3 linked regions of the Drosophila melanogaster genome follow. The protein of the gene in region 2 interacts with the protein of the main gene of each other region in a biochemical or structural test. Each region holds a gene or a part of one and is shown on either strand. Other genes may lie near its edges. The genes, in order: PGRP-SA, GNBP1 and PGRP-SD.

Evidence for each region.
Region 1: the proteins of GNBP1 (region 2) and PGRP-SA form a complex in vitro, tested with the Drosophila melanogaster proteins (2 studies listed by BioGRID).
Region 3: the proteins of GNBP1 (region 2) and PGRP-SD form a complex in vitro, tested with the Drosophila melanogaster proteins (one study listed by BioGRID).

What each region holds. Positions count from the first base shown.
Region 1 is NC_004354.4:11,559,842-11,563,290, forward strand, and holds PGRP-SA (peptidoglycan recognition protein SA), read left to right. Parts: upstream 1-1,801; 5' UTR 1,802-2,131; coding exon 2,132-2,439; intron 2,440-2,497; coding exon 2,498-2,616; intron 2,617-2,677; coding exon 2,678-2,862; 3' UTR 2,863-2,938; downstream 2,939-3,449. UniProt on the Drosophila melanogaster protein: Peptidoglycan-recognition protein that plays a key role in innate immunity by binding to peptidoglycans (PGN) of Gram-positive bacteria and activating the Toll pathway upstream of spz activating enzyme SPE.
Region 2 is NT_037436.4:18,673,957-18,678,492, reverse strand, and holds GNBP1 (Gram-negative bacteria binding protein 1), read right to left. Parts: upstream 2,694-4,536; 5' UTR 2,488-2,693; coding exon 2,370-2,487; intron 2,198-2,369; coding exon 1,413-2,197; intron 1,349-1,412; coding exon 971-1,348; intron 915-970; coding exon 717-914; 3' UTR 617-716; downstream 1-616. Other genes in the region: GNBP2 (Gram-negative bacteria binding protein 2), read left to right, coding at 3,151-3,274, 3,516-3,948, 4,011-4,324, 4,389-4,445, 4,518-4,536. UniProt on the Drosophila melanogaster protein: Plays a key role in innate immunity by acting as a pattern recognition receptor for beta-1,3-glucan from fungi and lipopolysaccharide from Gram-negative bacteria.
Region 3 is NT_037436.4:7,649,326-7,652,496, reverse strand, and holds PGRP-SD (peptidoglycan recognition protein SD), read right to left. Parts: upstream 1,318-3,171; 5' UTR 1,293-1,317; coding exon 732-1,292; 3' UTR 597-731; downstream 1-596. Other genes in the region: CG7492 (uncharacterized protein), read left to right, coding at 1-187. UniProt on the Drosophila melanogaster protein: Peptidoglycan-recognition protein that plays a key role in innate immunity by binding to peptidoglycans (PGN) of Gram-positive bacteria and activating the Toll pathway. Has no activity against on Gram-negative bacteria and fungi.

The sequences.
Region 1 (3,449 bases), on a different chromosome or scaffold from region 2:
TTTAGACAAGTTATGATAAAAACACCCTTTGCATAAATCGTATTTTTGGCCAAAAGACGGTTTTCAGATTTAAAGGAAGAAAATATTTAGTTTTTTGGCCACAACATTGGAAATAATGACTGGTCTATGCCACCCGGATGCGTTTTCATCCAGGGTATCAGCAAGGCAATTCAGCCAACAACGCCAACAAGTTGACTTGACTGCTGGCTAGCGCGGTATAAATGACGCCTGACGTCATGATGTCATCGAGTGAGCGGCAGAGCAGCCAAGCAGCGGAGCGGCCAACCTTAATATTTGTAATCTTCAAGTGCAACTAGGCCCCCGGCCACGCCCCCTTGACACTGTTCATTGGCCGCCCACGGATTGGCAATTAAAAAGAAAGGAATTAAACTTGCTAGTGGAAGCTCCTCGGACTTTTTCTCTGACTCAGCGCCACCTGAAAGTGGAGAGTGAGAAAAGTGGGTGAGGGCGATAGAGAGTGCACTGAAAAGAAATACTAGTGTGTGTTCATATTAGAATTAGAATTATTATATAAATATGTAAGATATGCATAATCTATCTAGTACCACAAAGTATATATGCACACTGAATTTATATGATTAATAATATCTGATTGATCTGCTCGTACATTATTTATGGATAACCCCATTTATAAACAACATATCTATTACCAATGATATCCAATACCATGTCTATAACCATTTGTTTATATCATCAATTACAAAGCCATAAAAACTTTGATAAACATAATATCACTTTCGGTGAAGTAACGCGAAATTAGATAGTCTTTCTTGCAGTGCAGCAGTAAAACACTGAGCGGTAAGTCTGATGAGTAACGCTAGTGCGGCGGAGATGACGCCGGATTGCCCCGCCCTGTAGTGGGTGGCAGTTATCGGGCAAACGGCTTTTATCAATAGCACCAATAATAACAGAAACCAAAATAGAATGAATGAATGAATAAAAAAATGCATCCAGTGGTTAGCGTAATGCATTTGCAATGCGGATCGCCTTCGGTGGAAAACCTTAAGGCAGAGACATGCAAATGCAAATGCCATGAGTAATTCACAATTTATAGACACCACACACATCGCAATCAAGTTCATAGCATGGGGGTCAATTATTATCTACTTTTTAAAAGAATCTTTAACTTTTCCCGCGAGTTATTCATCCTAATGAAACTGCCTTTTTTTAGCTGGCATTTAACACTTTTACCCTTGGAAATTGAAGTTAGTAAAGAAAAGCGGACGGTATTAAACATTTACACGCATTTCATTGACCTACAAAATGTATTGTTTGTTCATTTTTTGTTTTTTGGCAAAAACTATTGAAACTGCCTTTTTTTAGCTGGCATTTAACACTTTTACCCTTGGAAATTGAAGTTAGTAAAGAAAAGCGGACGGTATTAAACATTTACACGCATTTCATTGACCTACAAAATGTATTGTTTGTTCATTTTTTGTTTTTTGGCAAAAACTATTGCCATTACGTTCTATTTAAGGGAAGTATACGTTTTTCCTCGCCCTCTTTTTTAATTCATTAACCATAAATTGATTTAATGAACGACATGTCGGCATGCGAGCCTTCTATATCTTTTCATTTATAAGCTCGAACGATAATATACACAATATATTCGTGAGTAATATTGCTACACTTATACTTTTTTTTTACATATTTACTACTCAATTTGCAAACAAAAAAATAAAAATCTAACGCTCTCTGCGGCTGTTATCAGTGAACTTCTCGCGAGACTTTCAGCTAATCATTAATTTAGTTTAACTGTTAGTATTCGTGTGTACATATCACAAATCTTACTGCTTCTAGGGAAGCATTCGTCACTAGCTGAAAAGCGGAAATTCCATCACAGAGATCGGCTTTCAACCCGTTTTAAATTGTTGTTTGGGCTTTTTGCTTGTCGCTTCGCAAATGTGATGCAAAACAAAAAGAACCGAACAAAGAACGCGGAGATTTGCGACGGATCGGAAGATCTGGAGATGGCTAATGGACGGGAGTCCCCTGTGGCTCTGCGGGATCGTAAGCTCCAGAAAGCTCGGATCGTTGGCCCTGATAAATCCGGCAGATAGCCCATCGAGAGCAGTTCTCATCCAGCCTTAGATCTTAGCACATCAACATCATGCAGCCGGTTCGATTCGGATCTCCTTGGATTATGGCCATTGGGCTGGTGCTACTACTGCTGGCATTCGTCTCCGCCGGAAAGTCGCGTCAGCGTTCGCCAGCCAATTGCCCCACCATCAAGCTGAAGCGTCAGTGGGGCGGCAAGCCTTCGTTGGGACTCCACTACCAAGTGCGTCCCATCCGCTATGTGGTCATCCATCACACGGTCACCGGCGAGTGCAGCGGACTGCTCAAGTGCGCCGAGATTCTCCAGAACATGCAGGCGTATCATCAGAACGAGCTGGACTTCAACGATATTAGTTACAAGTACGGATGGCACCTTCGCAATTATCAAGATAACTATTATGATAATGATCTCTTTCAGCTTCCTGATCGGCAACGATGGTATCGTATACGAAGGCACTGGTTGGGGATTGCGCGGTGCCCACACCTATGGATACAATGCCATTGGCACGGGCATAGCCTTTATCGGCAACTTTGTGGGTAAGTTGCAAATCGATATTCTCCGCTATGTGGAGCACTACATGCCCAACATCTCCGATAGATAAACTTCCATCGGATGCGGCTCTCCAGGCGGCCAAAGATCTGCTGGCCTGCGGAGTGCAGCAGGGTGAGCTGAGCGAGGATTACGCCCTGATCGCCGGCTCCCAGGTGATCAGCACCCAGAGTCCCGGACTGACTCTATACAACGAGATCCAAGAGTGGCCGCACTGGCTCTCAAATCCCTAAATCAACTACAAGTAATTGCAGTAGTCTGCCAGAATGAGCATATCAGTTTAGTAAAGTAAATAAACCAATGTTGTTGAGTATTTTTTTGTGGTTTTTATTTTATAATTTTCTATTTTGTTTTCTGTCATAATTTACAAAAATGTGTCGGACGTAAAAATATATATGAATATATAGTGTAGTGTATGGGTGGGTGCCTGCATTCTTATGCTTTATAAGTAACATTTGTGTGCAGGCGAAAACAACTGATCGGGTTAATTAGGGATTTAAAGGGTATATGGAAAACGCTACAAATAGTGTCTGACGTTGGCTTGTTTTGTTGTTGTTTTTAATAACTAGGGTCTTTATACTAACATTAGGCAAAATAAGAATAGGGATATTCAAAAAAATGTGAAAGTACTTTGCAGAAGAGTGACAAGAGTCTTCCAGTTAGTAAACAATTTCATACAGTGGGTTGTGCAAAGAAATAGATTCGCATTATCGAATACAGTTCGAGAATTGCAACTTGAAACAATTTGTGCAAATATAAATGGCTTCGAATTCGCTTTTCTGGTTAACGCAAACAATTCAAAATGTTTACTTTACCACAA
Region 2 (4,536 bases):
GATTGCACCACGTGCTTCCAATTTTTCAAAGGATTTTCACTATCTCCAAAGGACTCGGTGACAATAGCCTACCGCTGCAGCTTGCAGCTGATGGGTTTGTCTCTAGTGAGGGAAATCGCGGGCAGGCAGTATTTCGTAGAGCTACGTAGCTTCTTACAATCTCTACTTTTCTCGGATGATGGTAGGAATTTCCGCAGAGGCTCTACCAAAGCACTGCTTTCTCCCAAGGATCTGATCCTGAAGCTTTTGATCACAGTTTCGTTTTGATGGGTCTCTACGACGGCGGATATTTTGAGGGTACCACTGCCCAGGTATTCCCGTATAGCCTATAGTCATAGAAGGGACACTTGTCCCCTTCGAACTCAGTGTAAAAGAGCACCGACCTAATACGATGATCTTCTATTTTACTTATTAATAGATTGTAGGCAGCAAAATGTGTGGCCATCTTACCTGGAAGCGATGCCCAGATCCATGTATCGTTTTCAGTGACATTCACCAAAAGCTGAAGAGCCTGAAAGGAATCAAAGCCGACCAACTGGCTTAGTATTAATGCCCAGACTCATCTCCATTCTGTCAGATAAGCAACCATACTGAAGCATTTGATTTCACTGAGTTTCTCTTAGGACTTTATTTATTTATAGATTTATAGATTTCGATCGGCACGTTCACTTATGTGTAATTTTATAAACATCTACCTAAATCATGGATTTTAGTTATCAGTTGGCGAAGACACGAACATAATCGATCTTCAAGGCCGGCTGTTTCCATGTGGGTAGCCACTGGTCTTGGGCCTGGTGGAACTGCAGCTTCGCCTGGGGATGATAGTTGGCCCAAGGCTTCTCATAAGTGGCGGTGCGAAGATGGTCCACAAAGTCACCAAATCCGCCCACAGAGACGCCCAACGAAATGTAAAACTGAAATGGGAGATAAATTTGAATTAAACTTGTTAAATTTAGATCACTAGGCTTACCATTTTATCGAACGGGGCCATGGGACCGCCCTGCTTCCACCTGGGATTCTCGTCCAGTTCAGTGAAACCATTCAGCATCTCTCCATAGACCTGACCATCTACGGAGAAGAGCAGCCTATTGCTGCTCCAATCCAAGCTGTAGGTGTGAAAGTCATCGCCGAAATGGGATATCTTTCGCTTGCTCAGCCATAAGTCCTCCCTTTGGTGGGCATCCGTGGAGAGTACGGGTCCTCCGTATAGGGATCTACCATCTACAAGCTTTCCGCGCGGCATCCTCAGCACGGAGTTACCCCTGGCCAAGGCCACTCGCAGCTGGCCGGATTCGTAGCCCGATTGCCCGTACCATTCGGTGAGGGGTTCGAGTAGTAGGAGTGGTACCTTATGAAGAGTGGGAAATATTAATTTCAAAGCTAAGACGTTGTAGTTGCATAATCTCACTTACTATCCAATCTCCCTTTGGTAGCTTGGCACGGATCTCAATGCGTCCGTATTGAAAGGCAAAGGTTTCCTTGGTGCTGATTCGAGGTGTTACAATTGGGGGCATTATCCCACTGGGTCCACTGCCCGTGGAATGCAGGATGCATTCCTTAATTCTGTTATGGGTTCCAGTACAACGCTCCGATAGATCGAGCCTGGAGTTGGCTATGGAGAGATCCGGGCGATAGCTGGACCAAAGAAGCGGCTCAATCACCAGGTTGCCATCGTGAACTTTGGCCTTCCCGTCGTACAAGACGAACTCTGCATCCTTGGAGTCGAGGGGCAGGCGAACATCATGTATCCACAGAGATTCATTCAGCTGATCAAAAGTCTCCTCAAACAAAAGTTGTCCCTTACATATGGAAACACCGATTTGCGGCGAAACCTGGCTTTCAGAAGGTTCACAGACGGAGGGAGCGGTGGGTTCCAAAGCACTGTCCTCAGTACTTAGCTGGTTGTCATCCGTAAAGTCATCATCACCGGGCGAACATCCCCTGGGCCGATACTCTCCGCCGAGATTGCAGACTGGCAGGGGCTGCGCCAGATCTTGATACACAGCCTTTTGGTGCTGCACACTTGTCCAAAGGTATAGAACATCTTGGGATCTCAAGGGAACCGAACTGAAGTTGGTCGTCCACCTGCCGTTCTGGGGTTCAGTCAATCTCACATTGTACTGTCCCTCGTTTATGAAGGATGTGAAATTCCGATTGCGATTTACATTAAAGGCCACCACTTTTACGCCCTCTTCATCTAAAAAGAAAAACAAAATCGGATAAATTAGCAAGTTCATTTGCTAATTTGTAGCTGATTATAACTATAAACTGTCAACATTGTTCGGTTTTTTATTGCTCCCCAGAGATCGTAAGGTTAAGAAAAAGATTAAGAAGCTATGTACTACGAGGCTGGCTCATTCCTTACTTACCCGGTATGGAAACGCTAAATCCAGTCTCAAGGAGCTCCACAGTCGGTGTGGGGATCTTGTAGGCAGTGGTGCATCCAAAACCAATGAGCAGAAGGATTCCAATGCACAATCCTGGCATTTTGAATCCTCGAGTTCAGCACTTTTCGACAAGAATCCCGAGCCTCTGACTCAATCTGTGTGTCTATCTCACTGGCAGACCGGTTTCTGTCGCTGGTGAGGAGCGATTACTATTATTTGTTTACTTTAAGTTGGTCCGGACAATCGCGATTCGGCGAATGCAAATCCACGTTGATATCAGCTCCGGCTGCGATCTGGCCTCTCTGGGATTTGGACATTTTTTAATCATTCCGTAGACCCCGAAAAATTAGTTCTAACGTTGCCCCTCCTCAGTGATCCACCTTCGAGTGGAAGCTTAAACAGCTGATGAGATAACAAAAGCTCGTTTTACACGACTAAAAATGAATGCTTACAATTTAAAAAAAAAAATCAAAATATTATTTTTCAAAGAACTAGGAATTAAATAATGTATTAATGGGCTTTTATTCTCCTTATTCCGCTTACTGTTAAAATAAAAGTTCATTATATTTATAATTGAATAATAATTGAACAAAGTTAATATTTAATTCGAGTGCAGCTTTAATCGAGAAAAACTTGAATCGGGACAAGCTTTTGAGATCAATATTTTCAATCTGATGCAACAGTCCCACCGCAGAGCTTCTCAGATTAATACGCTAATCGGATTCTAGTTAGTACACATATTAAGAGTAATTAAAACTGCGTCATGAGGTGGGAATTTCTGCCATGTTTATTATTGCTCATTTCAAACAATAAAATCTTTGGTTTTAAAGTACCCAGTATTAATTTTGAAATGCTAAAGGATGAAGGATTCGAAGTGTCCATACCAGGTGACTTCTACAACACTTCTATGGTTAAATAAATAACATCATAAATGTCAATGGTTTGGCTAATTTATTCATATGGAAAAAGCTTTGAAGTGTATTTGAAAATCCACTATAGGTTCAATAGTAAAAACTACGTATATAAAACAAATAAATTGGTGGATTAGCAAAATCAGCCTAGACTAAGTCTTATTTGAATAATTACTTTTAGTAACGACACGTTGTTGCTTTTTTCATATCGATCCAGATGAGCCTGGCATACAGCGGGTGTTCTACATGTTCCAAATTGACGACACCTGCCCGGCTCTAATGGACTACATCACGGAGGCAGTGAACGGAAGTTGGGTCTCCAAGCAAAAGATGAGTCTGCAGAACAACGACAAGCTGCAGATATCAATGCTGGTGCAGTTCAATGAGGAAATCTTCGAAAAGAGTGAAACCAGGGTGATCATAAACACCCGGCTACTGACCACCAAAGACTCTAGCTCGCGAGGCATAACATTCCTTACAGGAGAGGGCGAGTGCCAGGCATACCTAGCTCCTGCACAGCAAGCCAAACGCTGCAAGGCCGCCCAAACGATAGTGAGCAATGGACGCCATACTTGCCAGGGTGAACTGATCTTTGAGGACAACTTCTCGGAGGCGCAGCTGAACAAGACCACCTGGAAGCATGACATCCGGTTAGTGAAATAAGTGGACTCATTGGATGTGTCTAAGATACTTATGTTTTACGACTTTTAAGACAGCGCATGTACCACGTGGAGGAGGAGCTGGTGGCCTTCGACGATGCCGCACGCAACTGCTTTGTGAAGGAAGGCGAACTCCATATCGTTCCCACTATCGCCACCGAGGTCACCGATGGCAGCTTCAAACTGGGAGATCGCTGTACGGCCGTCGAAAGTCCGGAACAGGAGTGCAACATTGCGCACGGCATCTTCTATAGCATCAAGCCTCCAGTTTTCTCCGCCCAAATTCACACCAGAAACTCTTTCAGTTTCAAATTTGGCAAAATCGTCGTGCGCGCCAAGTTGCCCAAGGGGGATTGGCTTTTCCCCTGTGAGTAGCATACTAACTTACCTTTTCTTGTTACGAAAACGGTTTAATTTTTAATTTATTTAAGATCTGATGCTCCAACCGGTTTCCACTTACGCGGAGACCCACTATGCCAAGCAATTGAGTAGGTTTCAAAAACTTCAAAAGCTCTAGGGTTTCCATTTTGTTGTATCCTAACTTTAAATCTTACTTTCAGGAATTGCATATGCCCGTGG
Region 3 (3,171 bases), about 11 Mb from region 2:
GCAGCGTGGCGAGACGCCCGAAGGTCTGGCTAAGAGGAACTGGCTGCTCCAGCTGGACTTTGCCCAACAGAGCGGAAACGGAAGCGGTATTGGCATAGGAATTGGCAATGGTAATATGAGCGGAAATGGCAGCATTGTCGGCAGTACAGACAGTGCGAGCGGCAGTTCAAATGGGAGTTTATATTAGTGCAATTTACCTAAGTACTTTACGAATTTTGTATAGTTCCTTGTTTTATATTTTCTAAATCTGTAATCTGTAACAGCATCTGTTGCCACGTTGCCGACTTTTGTTTACCTCTCTCGTTTGGCGCATTATCTACTGCATACCATTACGACTACGACTATGTTCACGTTCGTTCCATCTGCGTTCCGTGCTTCATCTAGGGTTCTGTATAGTTAGCTTAGTTTCTTGCGGAAGTTCCGGTTCGGTGAATGATGCTATGTGATGTCTCAAATCTCTATTGTGGCCCAGTGCACTGCTCCTGGGGAGCGGCCTGCTTATTAAACGGGTCTGGCAACAAACAAAAAAGTAAAAAAAAAAAAAAGCGGCAGCTGACAAAAATGTGCGAAGTCGAAGAAGTACATCGGAAACAGATCAACAAAATTAAAATTTTAGTATTCGTATTTAAGCAAAAAAAAAAAAAACAAATTATACATAATTATATTTACAAATAAATGTGTAAGGAGTGGTCTTTACGTGTCGAAACCTTATGCAATGCACACTCTATATTTCACATTTCTTCGGACCAGTTGGGCCACTGCTGTATCAGAGCGTAGAGTGCTTCTCCAGGACTCTTGGTAGCACTGACTTGACGATGGCCCAGTAACTTATAGCCCTCCACCAGCTGAGCCTGTTTGACAGCCTGCTCCAGCAGCTCCTTGGCGGCATCCAAGGCCTCCTTGTTGGGCGCCCGTTCTTCGAAGTTACCAATAAACGCAATGCCCAGGGAACCATCGTTATTGGGACCGGCAAAGGCTCCTCTCTGGCTTGGACTTCTGCCTTCGTATACCTTGCCATTACCGCCGATCAGATAGTGGTAGCCAATGTCCGAGAACTTTTGCTTGGACATCTGGAAGTTTTGCAGATTTTGCATGTGCTGGGAGCATGTAACATCATCCGCACAAGCTCCTCCAGCTGTATGGGCGATCACAGCACGTGGCAAGGGAGTTTCCATGCTGTCTATGGCTCCGTTCGGCGGTTTGGCATTCCACTCGGCCCTCGTCACGATCGGTACTTCCCCCTGGACAGCGATTGCTGTGAGGCCAACGATGAGCAAACCGATCCAAGTCATTCCACTTGCGTGTCTGTCAACTGACTGGGTTGGGATCTTATGGGCTGCGGCACCTATTGCCGCTGATAAGGGGAGTGCCCCCAAGGAGATAGTCATCCGACCCCATATAAATGAATGTATCATACATATATGAGGGGGATTTTTCTTGCCAGTGATAGATAATTGACAGGGGGTAACGATTATAAGAACAACTAGCATAGCAATATATCGTTCTCTCAGAATTTTTCTAAATGGGTAAAATTTGCCAAGCGAAATTCCCCTAAAAACTACAAGGCCACCACAAGGGGGACATATATGTAATAAAAAGTGTAAAATGTACATAGAACTTAAATCACTTACCACGTTCTTGTGAATTATTAAATAAAAATTTGCTGCTTTAGATTATTTCATAGTTCTTACTTATTTTACACTAACACTCGCGAATCAGCAGATTGAGCATTTTTACAGCATGTTGATTTGATGTTTTTCTTTGGCGGGATGTAATATTAATTTTACCGGAACACTCGTATTTATTTAGTTATAATCCCAATCTGACACAAACTATAATTAAACCGCACTATTTTTACGCGTTTCAATAACTGATTTCTTTTAATGCGATCGAATTAAGCGTTGAATTGCGTGTAATATCGACAATAGAAAAGAAGCCGAAAAAGTGAGCATTCGCGCAAGTGCCGCTATTTCTAGCTTGTAAGCCTGCCTTCGAGCAAGAACTAACTGTAATCAATTGCCTCTCTGTAAACAAACGTAAGTGTTTGATGCGATCGAATTACTCGCCGAATTGTGAGTCATAACCAAAGAAAGAGCGTGCTTTCGCGCAAGTGCCGTTATTTCGTCTTGCTTTCTTTAATCGAATATATTTCGGTCTCTTCTTTTGCAGCAGTTCTGTTTTTTTAGTGTGCGCGGAAGTACGTTCTGTTTGTATACTATTACCTCCTTTACTTATTAAACTAACTTTAAACAGTTATTTTAATAGTTAGATTCTACACAACGGCAACGTAGAATGATTTTTTACATACATAGGTCAGCTTAAAACAATTGTGAAATACTACTTAATAGCGAATGAATGAATAAAGCAAAGCTTTGGTTTCGGTTATTATTATTTTTTTTTTTTTGTTTTTTCTTTATGTGTTTTGTGTGTGTTTGATATATACATGTACATACATATGTATGTACATGCATACATAAGTATGTATGTATAAAAATAGTGAAATGCTTATACAGGAAGCCTGTATTCTTAAAAGATAAATATGATTAATATGTATAAATACAGAGAAAGTAAGGTAAGTAAGTTTTAATTTTTTACCTAATTAAAATAATTGGTTTGAAAATAATTGTACGCATAATTTAGTGTGTTGTGTACACTAATGTACATGTACAACTTTATATTGCAATTTCAATCTGAACATCCACTATCTAATGGTACACTTTATACCGCGTATTTCCCTTAAATGTATTGAGGCCCCCCGATTTATCCCTATTTTATGCCAGTTAATACGAGCCCACAGAAACCTCAACTTGACACAGATGTTCTAGGCAGTGATTTAATTAAAAAACTTTTGCAATTAAATGCAAAAACTGCAAAAAACAAAGCGGAGTGCAGGCCATTAAGCCCCCAAAAAAGGGCGTGATGAGGAAGTGAAGTCGCAAAGTGACAACGAAAATGCAAGTAAGCGCCCTCAATTAAAAGCCAAAATGAATATAAAATGCGATGGAAAAGGGATGAGAGTTGAGGGGAGAGTGGTGGGGAGAGCTAAGCCGCAACATCCAGAAAACCCGAAAAAGCCGGGCTAAAACCAAAAACCGAAGCCAAAACTATGCGCGGCTGGAAAAACCAGCTGGTGGCGGGAAAAACTCGCCGTTAACTTGAATTTAAGTGAGT